3 linked regions of the Schizosaccharomyces pombe genome follow. Changing the gene in region 2 together with the main gene of any one other region gives a genetic interaction. Each region holds a gene or a part of one and is shown on either strand. Other genes may lie near its edges.

Region 1 (6,661 bases), 3.1 Mb from region 2:
AAGAATATATAGCAAACGAAATTGGGAGATGTATAAAGAATCAGTATAGCAAGGAAACGTATACCCCGTATATAATAGTCCCTTGTAAACTTATGCTTGTCCTGTCTTTATAATTTTTTTCTTTTTCTGGTTCTTTACCTCACGAACCTTTTTTTGTATTTAGTGTCTATAAGGAATATTTATATGAAACTAGTGTTTTGAGAAAGTCTAAAGCTATGAAATAGAGGTCTGTTAAAAAAAAAACTAATTTTCTTTTTTCAGTTCGCCAGTAAGCCAAAATAAAAAGTTCACGTAATATTACAGCCTCAAATTAAAAATTTCATAAAATGAATTGACTTTATATAGTATTTTTGTAAAAATTTATGTAGTGAAAATAATCAAATGGTTAGAGTGTATACGATACATGTGTGAGAACATCTATATTTGGGAGCATATATAAATAAACTTCTATCTAATATCATTATATCGTTAATGCGTAAAGTAGAGAACTGTTACGAGTTACACTAATTCGTAAAATTATATAGAAGACATATATATGAACATAATAACATTTATGACTCTAAATCTTTTAAATATAATTGCAGCCAATTTGCATCTTTTAAGTAAAATAAATTAGATAATTATTAGTGTTTTATAGAATATGTACCTAATAAAAAAAACTCCGACACTTAAGGACTGTATAAAGAAGTGAAACCTCAATCAGATAATGAAGGGAAATTCAAAATAAATCTAATTCCCATCCATAGGTGGGTTATGCGTATAATACATCGGACTGTACGATTGAGGCATAGCCATTTCTGGAGAATAAATGGGATAGTACGACTGAGGAATTGATGTGGGAACGGCACCAGGAGGAAGGGTAGCCATTGACTGGTGAAATGTTGAAAACTGATCCATGGGTGCAGGGATTGGCATCATTGCATTACGAGGTGGTGAAAATGGCGCTGGAAACATCGGATATGGATAGGAGGGATATTGATATTGAGGGGAAAATTGCTGCATTGGTCTTAGTTGACGAAATTCAACACGCAAAGGCTTTTTCTGGTGTGGGGACCTCGTCTTACCGCAGACGGCAGCATAAGCGGCTTGTTGAGAATCAAACCTTAGAAAAGCAAAAGCAGGCTTCTTGCTTTGATGAATTATTTTACAATCGATTACCTTTCCATATTTGGAAAATAGATCAACTAGTAAGTAGTGTGTGCAATTTACTGGGTCGAGTTGGCCAACGAATATAGAATAAGGATCAATCGGTGGAGGCATTGCAGCAAACATCATAGAGGGGTTCATGGGATATCCAGGCTGTTCAAAAGAACCATCTGTTGGGAGTTCGGCCTTGCCGCTTTCTAAAGAGGGTATTGAAGGTAATATACTCGGTAAGGAGCTTAAAGATTCATTAGGAGTACTGAATTCAGTAGAATTGACCAATGAGTGAGCAAAGTATGAGGGACTTTGAACCGCGGAATTTGATCTTCCCATGGTAGAAGGAGGATCGGAAGAAACTGAGAATGGAATAGGGGCAGGTGCTTTGATAACAGGAGTGTTCGACTGATCTTTGCCTTGCGACTTTCGCCTTCGACTATGTGCGTTAGGTGGAGAAAACGGGGAGGAACCTTTCTTCTTATAGTGACCGTTTTGATATGTCACATTTTCCGCCCAAAGTACAGGCCAGGCAGAATGCTTAAGCGCGGTATAGGCTGCGATTGCTTCATCCCTGTAAACAAACCGTACTAAGAAAGCGGATTGATCTGGTATTTCCGTGACATCTTCAACCTCGCCATAAGGTTCCAATAAGTTATCTATGTCTTTTTTTGTAATGTAAGGTTGATGGGGTGCAGAGGATATACGGATTGTCCTATTAACTTTGGCGCGCTCTATACGTATATGACGGCCATCCAATATCGTGTTTTGGGCTTCAGAAAGTGCTTTCGATGCATCATCAGTATTTTGAAATTGAACAAAAGAATAAGGCCTTTGCAACCAATCTTTCAAAACTTTGACATGCAACAAAGGACCCCACTGTTGAAAGTAATCTTTAACAGTGGCAGTCAGCTCTTCCTCAGACCTTGAAGAGTTTAAGCTAGCAACAAATAAACAGGCAACTGGTTTTCCACGGACAGACGACGGATTTAATACTCCACTGGAAGAGGAACTTGGGATAGGGGTGCTTGATGATGCAGTTTCCAAAGGAGGCTTTATAAAGGTAGTGGAATTATCATTTTCGGATAAAGAACCTGGGGGAATGTCTTGTAAAAGCGTTGTTTTTTCGAGTTGGGCTGATAATTTTTCGACAGGAGAATGCAATAAAGATACAGACGGAGAGGAAACAACCATTTTTAAATAATGTGTTTAAAAAAAAAGTTTGGAATGAGAAAGGATCTATAAAGGGGCATGAAACAAGGATGCCGGATTGATATCAAATTAAAAAGACAAAACTTTATACGAGATGCCTGCGCCAAAGTGGGATGGAGGTCGTATCAGTCGATTATATGGAATACAATAGATAGTTATGAGATGATGTGTCAACAGCAATCCAAAAGCTGCGTAGAAAAAAGAATGAAAAGTATTTCAACTGAAAAAGTTAAAAGTTAATTAATTTAAAATTTCCTTCAAAACAAAGTTTAAAAAAAACCCCAGAGAAAAAATTTGGTCAAAAGAAAAGATAAATAAAATTGATCAAAGAAGGGATAGGAAAAAACGAATGGGAAAACTTTTACTCAGGTAATAAAATTGCAGAAATAGGGAAAGAAAAAAACGCAAGCGTATGGTAATTTAGTGCAAAAATGCAAAGATAAAATAGAGATTATACACGTATAAATAAGAAAGAAATGGAATGGCTCTTAAAAATGACGAGTCAAAAGAAAGAAAGAAAGAAAGGATGAAGATTTTGAGAAACCAGCTGAAACAGAAATGGAAAATGAAAAACCAAAACCAGAGATAGACAGTAGGTAAACCAAACGAGACTTTGCAGTCTAACAATAGTCTAAGGAAAGCCCAAAGAATAAATATATATTTGAGTGGGGGAAACGAGTATTTCCAGAATAAGAGTCAGATGATGAGAAAAGTAAAATGGGGAATAGAAATAGCTTGCACGGTGATCAGACCGTGAAAGAAATTTCACAAAGATGAAATTTCAGTTTTTGGGTGATGGATAGAGAGAACTCTTCTCAAGTGGAAGCTAAAAAATAATTGGATAAGCTTGAGGGAGTAGCAAGTTCGAATTGAAAAAGGTGAAAGAATCAAAGAGCAGTACAATTGCAGTTGAATATCTCGAAAAGCTGAACACAGAGAAAGTTTGAGGTGAAAAAGAAAACAAATAAAAATAAAGAAGCCAGTAAACGCAACAAAAGGTGCAAGAGGAGAGCGAAGGAAAGCTCAATGGCACAGACAGAATCAGATGAGAAGAGAAGGTAAACGCAGTCTCACTAGTATTTCAAGCAATGTGGAGGTATTCGATAGATAACAAAAGAAAAGGAAAAAAAGAAAAAATGGGTGATCAGAAATGCAACAAAACTGATAAAGACAGGATGGAAGACGGGGAGACGTCTCAGCAAAAAGGAAGCAACCCACACAAAGAGAAATTGAATTTAGTATGTTAATGGAGAAAGGAGAGAATCGAAAACCCTCGAATAGCAATTGATTTAGGTGAAAGCAAAGAAGGGGGTTATTCACGACGAAGGTTTAGATCTGCTCGGAATATACGAGGAAAAGACATTGTATATCAAGACTACTTGCAAACTCGGGGATTTCAACACGTGTTCTTCATCGGTAATGTAGGCGGCATAAAAGAGGACAAGGGACATTAGGGAGCAAAACCAGACGATATGATTAACTAAAGGAGCAATACATCCGAATCCTGCTTACACTCTAATAATTAGTCAAACGACCAAGACGCTGCCTCAAATCCTCAATCTTTTAGTAATTTTACCGTTCTATTTGGGCCATATCATTTTACTAAATTCTAGCCATTCTCCTTTACCACGATTGATAGGCAATTGTCCATTCGGAAGTATATCACTACTGCCAACATTTCCCTCTCCACAATGTCTTAGATAGTGGGTTACAGGGAGTATAAGGAACAAGCTAGTATTGACAAATGATGAGACATTGAGAATTGGGCACAGGGTAATGGGCTAAAAATTGGGTGCTGCACCGAAGCATCCTTTGGTTGTGAAGATAAGCAACTACAAATTTTAGGAGTAAGTTAACAACGGCCCCATGGAGATAGAAAAAGGAAGAATGCTAAAAGTCGTGAACAAAGGCGTAATCGTCAAAGAAAGGTAAATTGCAAGCACAATGAAAAAGATGATTTTTTACAATAGGATCCAATAAAGCGAAAAAAAAAACAAATAAATAACTAAAGAAAAATAAATTGAATTTTGATTAGTATACAAAAAAAAAATTAAGCACAATCTAGATGAGCAACAAAGAAAAAAAGGGAGACCTTTAAAAGAACAAGGTGAATATGTTATATTACTGTCTGGATTAATGACTGACAAAGACAGAATACGCAAGCTATAGCCAAGCTAAGAAACGAAAAAAAAAAGAAAAGAAAAAAACAAAACAAAACAAAGGTAGTTAGTTTGTCAAGCTATGAATAAACTATTTTCGTCGTATTTTCTTGAGCGTTCTATAGACTGTTTATTCAACAAAGCAAAGCAATAGTATAATACTAGTAGTAAAAGGAGTAACAATAGGAAAAGCCAGCTTAGCGTGTACCGAGGTTTTCTCAAAAAAAAAAAAAAAAAAAAAAAAAGGAATCGCTTGCTGAGATATCGAACTCTACCCCTTGAATCTAACATTCACATGACCTTTTGTTTCTTTGTTTGTCCCCATTTCTAGATGTGTTTTTACCTTGGAATAAAGTCTCGGTATTCTAACTCCGATTGCCTATCTCTAACACTTTGTAGTGGGATGTGCAGGGAGCAAGCTAAATGCACGCACTCTGATGGAGTGAGTTCTGGATAAGTGACAGCTGAGTATAACGATAAACATCGTCGTACAGTTTAGCTTCCCTTTGAAACAAAAATTTTAAGTATGTGTAATGGTGCTTATTTATCGAGGAAAAGGGTGAATCTATAATAAAGAATGGATCGTTGGAATGTAGAAAGTAGTCGATACTTGAAAGTGAAAACAGATGTTGAAAAAATTAGTCGATGTTTAAATGTTTAAAAATAATAATAATAATACTAATACTAATTTTAATTCTTGTATTTTGCTAGTTAAACTAGAAAACTGCCAACGAAATACAAGCATACATACATATCTATATCTATATCTATATATAGATATAGCTATGTTCCTTTCCAGACACCAGTAGACTCGGTCTATATCGCCAGCATTTCTTAGACTAGGATTAGAATGGGATAAAAATATGAAAAAGGGAATGCTGAGGAAGGATGAATAAGAGTCGTTATATGTTTTTCTTTACTGTTTACTTTTTCTTTTTTTCTTCTTCTTTTCTAGCTCGCCTTTGGCCCAAATTAAGCTCATTAACCTGATGCTGTCAGATATGACTTGACACTCTCTGTGATACTACATATGCAGACAATTTCTGGACGAAACATTAAATTTTCCGATCTTCAATCAACGTTCCGAAATGGTCTACAGAAAGAGTAACAACAAATTGTATGTAGCGTTGGATATGAAAATGCACTGCGTGGCATAGCATACAATACTCTTACAAATGCGCTTGGCAAAGACGATTCAATTTAAGATTGCTGTTATGCTTACAGTATAAACCAAAGCAGCAAGAATGGAATCCCCGTCCCGTAAATTTTTTTTTCTTGGTAATACGTTAAAAGTATAACTTGGCAGACATGTCGAAACCGATCATTTGTAAATCAGCTTCTCTTAACTATCTCTAGTGGATGCAATAGTATGTTAAACTAACAAACACGAGTACATTTGAAAGACTCATAAACCAAATTCGATGATGATCCTTTTGTTGATAAACCGTTTTATGGTGGATCTTTGGCGTATCCTATCCCTTACTCTTCTTTCAGATATGAAACAAAGTAAATAATAGCCGAGGCAACCATCTATAAATCATCATTGTTTAGCTGCTTCCCCCCCCTAACATGGGACGTAAGACAATGAAAGTTTAATTTGCTTTTAATTTTCGTTTTGAAAAAAGTTTGTTAGATATGGTTCGCTTCCAACCTTCCTACTTTAATAAACAAGTCGGAACTCCAGCTAGCATAAAATCTGTGGGAGAACTCTCAAAATGCTTTGAAGAGTGACTGTATCGATTGATTGATTGATTGATGGGGTGAACTAGGTAGCTGTATGAACTGAACCATCCCTACTATTAAGAGGTATGAAAACGTACGCATGTTAAGAGAAGCTCTAACTACATTACCATACTGTTATGTACTACTCTTCTCCAAGCCAGATCATAGAACTTTCTAAAGAGCATAGATTTCATTTAATTTATTTATCAAGCTTTCTAACTACGTTCTTCGTGAACTTTTTTATTACTGGGCCATTTTAAAAAAAAAGAACTTCATTACTAAACCAAACAAAAAAAATACCATATATGATTTATTTCTTCTCGTTCTTATACTATGTCTTATACCAGGGAAACCAGTTATTATTTACTGCTTAACAAATGCTATTAGGGTTCAACGTTCTCGTTAGTAGAAACATGAAAAAAAAAATTTCG
Region 2 (5,778 bases):
ATTTATCTGATGACCAGCATATCCAATACTCGTATCCCAACACATTCGTTAATAGATTTCCTCAGAACATTCACCATCCTTCAGCTAATCTATTAGATGCAAGTGCGGCTTTGAATCCAGTACAAAATCCATTGCTTATGCCCCAACAAAACCATGAGCATTCTCCCCTGGTTCGTTCAGATGCAGCTTTGCATGACCATGGACCTTTACTTCCTGTTTATCCAGATGTAGATTCTCGTTTCGTTTAGTTTAGGTTAGTATTGCCGCTTGTTGCACTTTGCGGTTTTGACCATTTCCATGGTGTTGCTCTATTTATACTAGTACCTGTATCTTTAGTTGGTCCTTTCTGGCATTCCCTTTTGGTTTCTGCTTTATTATCATTTAGATGTTTTTTAATTTTTTTCTTCACCATTCGCCCTACCTGCCTAATGTGAGTTAAATTATATTGCCATTTGTGTCAGTATCTGGTATATGGACAGGCAAGCCCTTCTTTTTTAATAAAAGAACCTTTTGCGTTAGCTCTTATTTGAGCTAAGTTCATTTTTGATTCTTTTTTGCTCTTAATCGTTTTGTCTTTTTGCTTTGTATATAATTTTAGAAACTATTTTTAATCAAGGTCGACCGGTACTTTCGTATACGAGATCCTATGTACATAAAAGTTATATATTTAATAATAGTTATTTTTATTTTGCTTATACATTCGGTTTTTACTATTTACAAACTTTAACCAACCTTGAATAGTTATCATAGTAGTGGATTCAGTAAAGTATTATATTTAATAAGCTGTGGAAATGTTTCATTCAACAAATTATGAGTAACCGGACGTTTTTAGGTTTTTAAAAGCCTTAAAATAGAACGGATTTGGCCTGTTGAACTGACAAAGCATATCACACCATCTTGGTAAAATATATAATGTACAATATAGATCGTTCTTAGAGGGTATCAAAATAACGATTGTTAAAATGCTTTTAAAAAATGTGCTTAAATACAATCGGAAGAGCAGGAGAGAGCACTAAACGCCTTAAAATAGCTTTTACCAATTGGTGTAACCAAAGGTTTCGTTTGGCCCAAGTGACCTATATGGCACACTTTTCCAATCATAAGTTTTAGTGTACACAGTGTTTCCCCACCAGGTTATCTTACCTCCAGGGTATGATACACATAAGAAAATTACTACTCCAGCGACTGCAACCCCAGAATCCATAGCTGCAGCCAGTACGTAGTTGTACTTCCTCCACCAGTGTATCGCGCGCTTTCTAATCACATAATTAAATATAAACCCAACAATTGCCCAAGAAGAATAGTTAATTCCAGTAGCGGGAGGAATATTGCCAGGACCAGTGAAAAGGACCGGAGCATTAAGCTTTCCAATCCACGACTTAGGAAACCTTTTTCTCAAACCCCATGTTATAAAAGGAGCAACTGCACCTATCAAAAAGAAAAAAATCAATGGGTAATATGGTTTTCCTTTTGAAAACATTTTAGCGGGCCCAATTGCACCCCAAATTAAGGAGGCATTATAGATGGAACGACCGTTGGGACAAGTAAAGCCATTTGATTGTGAAGTTGTACAAATACCTGGAATGTGATAATTCATCCATTCCTGTACAGCAACCTGGGTAATTCCACCGAGGATTGTAGCAAAAAGCTGAACAAAAAATAATATACGTGGAGGTATTTTCATATATTGAGCGAGTTTAAGATCACGAGAAAACTCTAGCCCTTGCCGCATAGGAATGAACCCATACAGTTTAATCATCAAATTAGCTAAAGGTTTCCCAGGTAAAATATAACCGCCAATTAGCTCAGTGATAATATTGAGACCGACATGCTGATTTGTAATGCCTTCAAGAACACCTTGAGGAATGAAATTTACAATAAAAATCAACAAGGCAACAATGAGAGCCCACACAGGACATTGCGTATCATAGTAACGAACTGTGAAAATGGTTAAGCCAAAGACTACGATGAACAATGTGGCATACCACCACTGAGGTGCTTCCTTATAATTGCGCATCAGCTTCCGATGAATGCATTCATCTTTACCAGACTCTTTCCATAAGCGTTGCCATATATCTTTTCCATTGTATAAAGCGCAATGTGTGAAAATAGCTGTCACAGCAGCAAAATTCAAAGCAGTTGACATGCTATAGGACATAGGCATATATAAGGGTGAATATGATTCATATTTTGTATGATTAAATGAGTAATCACTATTAAGAACACGTGAAGAGTTGTAGCTTACACCGGTGTGATCAAATGTTGAAGATGAAAGCATGGGTAAATAATTAGAGAACCAAACACCTTTATAGTACAAGATAGGAACGACAATCCAAAAAATTAAAACCACCGATCCAAAAGTATTGCAAATTACCCACCAGGGAGAAGCCAATGGATTGCTGTTGTAAACGACTTGCTGCCAGTCGAATGTAAGGGGAAGAATGCCAAGACCGGAGTTGTATCCAAATAACTGATTTACAACACGATTCTTTGGCCATATCCAGCAAAGAACGGTAAAATAAGAAAGACCTTTAAATATGAACCCAGGAAACCAGTAAAAAACAAATGATCCAATCATTACATATGCAAAAAAGCGATATCTGGAAATGGTCCAGCCATTAGCAGATATCCTGTTATTTTTTAATACCCCAATGTCATTTCCACTATTACCGTGAAGTGTTCTAAACAGAACAGTGCTTACTAAAGTTTGAGGCCAGATCATAGCAGCTGGATACACAATCCAGCGTCTAGTGAGACCGGCAAATCCATAACCCAGCATTTGCGAGGTAAGCACAATAAGTATTTTATAACCCCACGAGAGGTTTTGTTTATAGAAGCTAGTTTGGGCGGACAGGATATTCGTGGCATAAGCGGTAGATGATGTTAGGGAAACAGCGATTGTAATGGCTGCATGTTCTTTAACGTTAAAGGGGGAAGAATTAAGATAAAAAGAGAATCGACCATAACCAATCTTCCAATTTGGTAACAAGTTCAATAGTTTTCCTAGAGGAAATAAAATTAATTGAGCGACAATGAAACTGATGCTCAAAGCCGGATAACGTAGACTAAAAAATTGATTCACAGCAGCGAAAACTATTACAAATATGGTGGTAAGCACCCAAGTTCTCCAAGTGTTCACAGGCAAATTAACGTCGTCAGTAGGATTTACGGCAGCACGAACTTCTGGGTAAACAGAATCTTCAATGGCTTCTAATTCACGTTCCAACTCTTCTACTTCTGACTCGACTTCAGAGTCGGTTTCATTGTCAAGTTGAACCGCTGAGACATGCACGCCATCCTTCTTCGATTTACTAGGACTTTCACTTATGCTGTAGTCATTTGGACTGAATGAAGATGAATTGGTCCGAAAAGGACGATTAGGGTGATGTTGAATGTTAATATTATGGTGGTTTCCACTATAACTGCTCGTCGACTCGTCAGAAGAAGACTGTCGAAAAGTCAGCGAAGTCTTAGAGGCCGTCTTTGTAGATAAATTCCCAACTCCAGCTGGTGTCTCATCTCCAGAGACTTCATTTTCAGATGTTTTCCTAATACTGGTAGGAATACTAGCAGAATTGCGAGCTGTCATTGTATTTACCTATAAAAGCCTGTCAAATCAGGAGCAAATAATTCAACAAATGGCAAGATATATAATCTATTTAGGTTAAAAAATAATGCAGGCACTAACAAATGAAAACTCCTTTATCTCTGCCTTTGTATGAAATTTTCGTCTATGGCAATTTCCATCGAACTTTTTCAGAATTTCGACAAGCGTTGCTTTTCAACCGAAATTGAGGTTATTGATAAAATCAGCAAAAACTTGATCCACAAAGAAATATAAAGGCCGTTCAATTGCTTTCTCGCACGCCAAGATTATTTCAATTGTTACAAGTGAGATTCACTGAAATCTCAATTAATTTTTGCACTTTTCTTAAAAACCAAGTGAAGGGTAAAGGAGAGTTTAACTTTGCACACAAATTTATATATTTATATATATGTATGAATGAAAAAGATTTTTAATACCAGGGCATGATTGCCGAATGGTAAGCTGATCTTATACCATCGATAAGCATGTCAATAATTGCGACACCATCACGACATTGTGTCCCTTCGCTCTTTATCGAAGAAAGAGCAGCTTTAAGATAGTTAACGAGGTTACAAAAAATCTCCGTGTTACTTAATAAGATTCCTTTAGCGAGTCTTTAGATATATAGCGACTTTGTGTGTGATAAATGTATGAGGATTTACAATAAATCCAGTTGTTTTTCAAGTTGGTTTATTCATTTTTACTTCCTACTACAGTACTAATAGTGTTATTTTGAAGTTCTTTTAATTTTACTTTTTTTGTAGCCAAAAGACTTCATTTCCATATTTCTCTTTTTTTCCTTTTTTTTTTTTTAATTTGCGCAATTCCCATGCAAAGTATACTATGACAACAAGCAAAAAATTTCAAATGTGTAGCATGACTTAATAAATAGTCCTTTTATTAGAAATATTTTGTTGCATAATAGACAATTTATTTTGACTGTTGATTAACGATACTAAGATTCTTTAATGTTGCATTGTGTTAGTTTTACTATCAATTTGCCTAGTGAAAATAAAAAAAAAACCAAAATCCAGTTAGGTACTTTTTTCATTTCATAGATATAACAAAAAAAAGGGACTATTTTAAGGTAATAATAAAATCTGTACAAATATTAATTTATACTACCTATAGAAGTAACCTTTAGTAGCTTCGTAGAAATATCTTATTGTTTGCATTATAATTCGCAAATGATTAAATTTAGACATTGCAATAATTTTTTTCCTTCTCAGTTATTCGGAAAAACAAAGCAGCATCAGAACCATTTTTACTACTTTGTGTAAATTCAAATTAACCTGTAAATTCTTATACAGTAAACCTTTTATTCCCTCTATAACACAAATAAACCGAATCTTTTACTTTAATATAAGTTTTCTGGTTTTTGTGTTATTTAATAAAAGTAAAGATTATTCATCGGTGATCACTGGAAACGATCTACTAAAATAAATAAACAAATTTCATTTTAAATAATTTCATCATCAAATTTATGGATCTCATACCGACAAATATTAAATAATGTTTGAAGAGGTACTTGACCTCGTTTTTATTAAGGGTTTCGTATTTTTGCCTCAGCAAAATTGTAAATATAACCATGTCAGCAAAAGATCAACAGTTTAAAGCAAGGACGGAAGACTGTGTTAGATTTGTCTCGGGAAACTATAAACCAACAAACATAAGGGAAATCTAGCCTGAAACGAGTTCGAAAATAGTTCCCATTTTTTTAATTGTTAAACATAGATGCTCTATTGCGCAAGATACAAGGGTGAAAATAACAAAAAAAAGCCATTAACGCGTCCAATGTATAACTTGCAATTTTATATAGTAGAGAGCAATAATAGGTATTTGCAAGAGGGTTAATGAGAAAGGGAAACCATTACAACGAAATATCACTTTGACATTTCTGCATTAAAAGCCTTAAAAGTCAAGCAAAGTAAAGTTTTTGAATATATGATAATTACAGCACATCAATGGATAATGAATATATAAATTTGTGGACATCAAGGAAAATCATGCGTAAACATGGTACATGTAATCGAAAACATGTTTCGATCATAAATGTAGACCAGTGAGTACAAACCCCAACAAAGGAATAGATGAATTGGTTTATGAGGGTTAAAAATCATCAGTAATCAGTAATTGACGCGGGGAGTTATGCACACTAAGTCTGAAAAAAAAAAGAGAAAACAAAAAGTCAA
Region 3 (4,016 bases), 1.5 Mb from region 2:
TCGAGAACAGAGATTGGAGATGCTAAAAAAAGAGTAAGAAAAAGCTTTAAAATGATTTTAAGAATTTAACCGTTCAGATTCGCTAGAGTGGAAGCTGCAAAAGAAAAAGGACACATGCAGTTTCTTACTGTAGAAAATGAGCGCGAAGTTATGGATTTTACGCTGTATGTCAAAACATTAGCTTCGATTATTTTAAACTAATTATTTTTTAGTTCATCAAAAAAAGTTGTTATACATTTTTACCACCCTGATTTTATACGTTGCAAAATTATAGACTCTCATCTAGAGGTACGAGGAGTTCCATTTATTGCTTACGCTAACATTCTCAGAAAATTGCCAAAGTACATTGGGAAACTAAGTTTATCCGTATTGAAGCAGCCAACGCTCCATTTTTGGTAGTCAAATTGGGTCTCAAAGTATTACCAGCCGTACTTTGCTACGTAAATTCTCAGCTCGTGGATAAGATTATCGGATTTGCTGATTTAGGTAATAAAGATGATTTTGAAACTTCACTCCTAGAATTTCGGTTGCTCAAGAGTTCAGCAATCGACCGATTAAAAGAAGAGAGTTCTTCAAACAAGTCTATTTACCACGATGAACTACAAAATAATCAATCAGATGACAGTGATTTTTTTGAATAAAAGGATCTTGGGATTACAAAGTAAGAAATTTAGATCAATGTGATGTATAATATATATCCTTTTAAAAAAATTTAAAATCTATCATAAGCCTACTGATGAGTGTAGCTATCGTAAAATGTACAGAACAGAAATCACAATGGAGTCTAAAGCAGTAACTATTTTGAAGCGACTTGTTTAACTGAGTCCATAAGTAAGGGAACTACTTTCTTTCTGCTAGCAGCGGAATTTCTTTGATTCCACATACTGAGGTCGCCATTATCTTTCTCTTCAATAATTTCTAATCCTAAATTTTGTTTGCTAAGTTTTAAGAAAGAATCGGCAAGACCAGCTCCCCTTTCAGTACGCTTGTATAAAATCAATTGACGACCAAACTCGTCGTTCTTACTCAGAGATAACCCAACAATTACCAAATCAGAATTTTGCACTTCGGCAAAACTTTTCAATTCATCTTCCCATCCGAGACGTTTTTTCTTGATCCAATCTAATCCCTTTCCAACACTGGCATAATTGACGACTATTCCGTCCGGAAAATACTGTTTTAAATCCCTGCGTAGTAGATCATCAAAAGAAAAACCCTTACAGCTCTTCTTTTTCTCTTTCAGAGTATCAAAAAACTCATCTCGAACCCAATCTTTTGGCACAAATGAGCATAAGTCATTTACTATTTTAACATCGGTATCAGTAGTCTTTTCATTTTTTAAATTTCCAGTATCAATTAAAATAGGGCCAAGTGCCAAAACAGCAAGGTTGGTTGCTGTTTGGTGAAGTTCAGATACTTTGGAATCATATAGAGATCTAATGACAGGCATAAAATATCGGCAAACTAAAGTACAGCAGCTACCGCATTCCTCAATGATTCTTGGATCAGCATGTAAGGATCCCCCTTCATCTTTGTGGTGATCTATAATACCAGCGATACTGCCGTTGAAATTTTCTAGGTCTTTACGGTCCAAAGAATTGTGATCAACTAAATAAATAGGATTACTGAATATTCTTTTTGGTAATTTTACAATATCATCTAAAAAGACAATATCATCGGAAGATATTGATGCTAAGTTCAACAAATAAGACAGTTCAGGCCTAAGACGTAGCTCCTTTCGAGGAATGTTAAAAAAAGGTACTACAATCCTACCCAGCTGTTTTCTTTGCAGGCAATACGCATATACGATTGAACTAGCGCAACTGTCAAGATCTAAGACGAATTGTTAATTCTCGTCTATTACGACTAATGTACCTGCTGATTCATTTCCACTAACAAAGCTAAAAGACGGGGCAGACGATACAGTCGAAGCATTTAAGAGGAGATTTCGTATTTGCTCCCTTCCGTTTTCTAAAAATCTGCCTAATTTCATTGTACCAAAAGATTGAAAAGGTTACTTCAGGCTTTAGGTGCAAGCCAATATATCTAATCTATTACTACCAAAGTAACAAGTTACTCAATATAGCAAGGAATTTGACTGATACACTTAAATCAATTATGAGTATTTTCATAAGGAATTGAATAAAGGTGATAAAAACAATAATAAATGAGAGAAGATGAAAAGAAATTAAATCGGTCGAAAACATTACGCTCCCATGAGATTTCCGAATTAAATGAGTAATACTCTAAATCAAAACTGGCCGATTAGTAGTCATAAGTGAATTTGTATTCGTCATTGTGAATACTAGAACTATCGATAGAATGGAGAATTTTATAGAGAAGCTGCTTGGTTCATAACTTGCAACAAAATTTTTGGATTCTTAGAATTCATTCAGGTTAGTAAATTGTTAAACCAAAATGTAAAATTCCAAAGAATATGACGGTAACTCGAGCACAAAAGCAGATAACCAAAATACCTGTCAAGAAAAGAACTAAAATAGATTACAAAAAACGACGAAACAAATGTTTAAGCCGCTTCCTGCTGTTCCGGAGTACGTTCAAATTTTTCCAATAAAGTCCGGTCTCCTGCATATCCGCATTTAGATGCCATCATGTCATAAAAATAGGACAAATCAATACGAACGCCTGGCCATTTGGATGGATTTCTTGCAATATCCGTAAGTTCCAACTGCAGTCTATCTTCGAACATCCGAATTACATCTGGTATTACTTCTACACAGTCACGTTGTGAGTAGCGATGTAAAACTTTGTAGAGCTTTATAAGACTTTTTGAAAGATCAATAATGTATCCATGAGGACTGTCAATATCCCACGAAAGAGAAGCAATCTGGGAACAACTGATAGCAACTCGTTCCCTCATGAGACTAACAAACTTATCATGAATTTGTAAGTGATGAACGGTGAAATCTTGATCCAACTTATTAGTTTCATTGGTGAGTCGAGTTCCTGTTACTCTTGACAAGTACCTGCACATTGAATTAAGGGATAATTGAAACAATGCGATAGTTTGAGAGGCAAGTGCAATATGCTTCCCAAGTACTTTACTAAGGCCAGACGACCGCACTGTCCCCGCTCCCAATATTAATTGATAAACCCGAGAATTGAGTGTACGAAACATATCTAGCATACCAGTCTGAAACTCTGGAGCCAATCTTGAAAAGTGAGCAAGAAGTTTACCATAATCATCCAATGTTTCTAACAACGTAACAGAGGACCGAACAATATGTAATGATTGTTTTCCAAACGAAACCGTAGCAGTACAGTCCTCTGAAACTTTTACATGGTGAACCCTATGATTTTCATCTTCTTTTTCTGCTTCAGGAGATAATAGTCGCGTCCATTCTACGGGAGTATTACCGGAGCATTCAAACACGCGATTAGCTAGATCTTGACAGGATGGTTCAACAGGTATCGCTTCCCATAGCTCCCTTTCAAAGCTTGATGCCAATTTCTGAGTAGAATATCGTTGAAAATTTTTAAACCAGTCCAGTAATTGCCTCATTATAGTTGGAATAAATGAGCTTTGTGTGATTCCGCAAAGACTTTCAAGCTCATTATGAAAAATTATGTGTAAAGAAAAAAGGTATATAACATTATTAGGAGGATAAGTATCCAAGACTCGAAATCGAAGATTATTAATAGTTGTCACTTGTTGTGTAACAACATCGGAACTCGTGGCCATTAAATCATTAAGAATCACAGATAGGTGATATTGTTTAGTATCTTTTTTCGATAAAATATCTATTAAAACTTTTATTTGGCTGCGAATGCGACGCAGACATTCCAATGATGAAAAATATATATTCGTCAACATTTCTGCAAATTCCGTGATGCTCATGCTCTGAAAAGGATTCGCCGCTGATGAACTTCTTCTAGAGCTATCTGAAAGACTAGAAAGGCTGGCTGCACTCAAGCTGCGACGTAAATCAGAGGATTTACGAACACTGCGCATCTCTACACCATCGGTAAAATACTGTTGTGCTAAATTTTCAAAT

What was found. A genetic interaction does not mean that the proteins touch.
Region 1: mutations in pgt1 (region 2) and msa1 together harm fitness more than expected from each alone (negative genetic interaction), as found in Schizosaccharomyces pombe (one large-scale study listed by BioGRID).
Region 3: mutations in pgt1 (region 2) and ppx1 together harm fitness more than expected from each alone (negative genetic interaction), as found in Schizosaccharomyces pombe (one large-scale study listed by BioGRID).

The regions. Positions count from the first base shown.
Region 1 is NC_003424.3:2,317,909-2,324,569, forward strand, and holds msa1 (RNA-binding protein Msa1), read right to left. Parts: upstream 4,918-6,661; 5' UTR 2,332-4,917; coding exon 730-2,331; 3' UTR 584-729; downstream 1-583. UniProt on the Schizosaccharomyces pombe protein: Negative regulator of sexual differentiation. Acts by repressing the transcription of meiosis-inducing, ste11-regulated genes.
Region 2 is NC_003424.3:5,430,825-5,436,602, forward strand, and holds pgt1 (plasma membrane glutathione transmembrane transporter Pgt1), read right to left. Parts: upstream 3,964-5,778; 5' UTR 3,590-3,963; coding exon 1,034-3,589; 3' UTR 751-1,033; downstream 1-750. Other genes in the region: silencing factor Clr5, read left to right, coding at 1-248. UniProt on the Schizosaccharomyces pombe protein: High-affinity glutathione transporter which plays a role in scavenging glutathione from the extracellular environment for the maintenance of sulfur homeostasis.
Region 3 is NC_003424.3:3,944,555-3,948,570, reverse strand, and holds ppx1 (exopolyphosphatase), read right to left. Parts: upstream 2,017-4,016; 5' UTR 1,994-2,016; coding exon 1,876-1,993; exon of another isoform or gene 1,834-1,875; coding exon 797-1,833; 3' UTR 642-796; downstream 1-641. Other genes in the region: plp1 (thioredoxin domain-containing protein), read left to right, coding at 1-33, 78-164, 213-288, 330-641; GARP complex subunit Vps54, read right to left, coding at 2,528-4,016.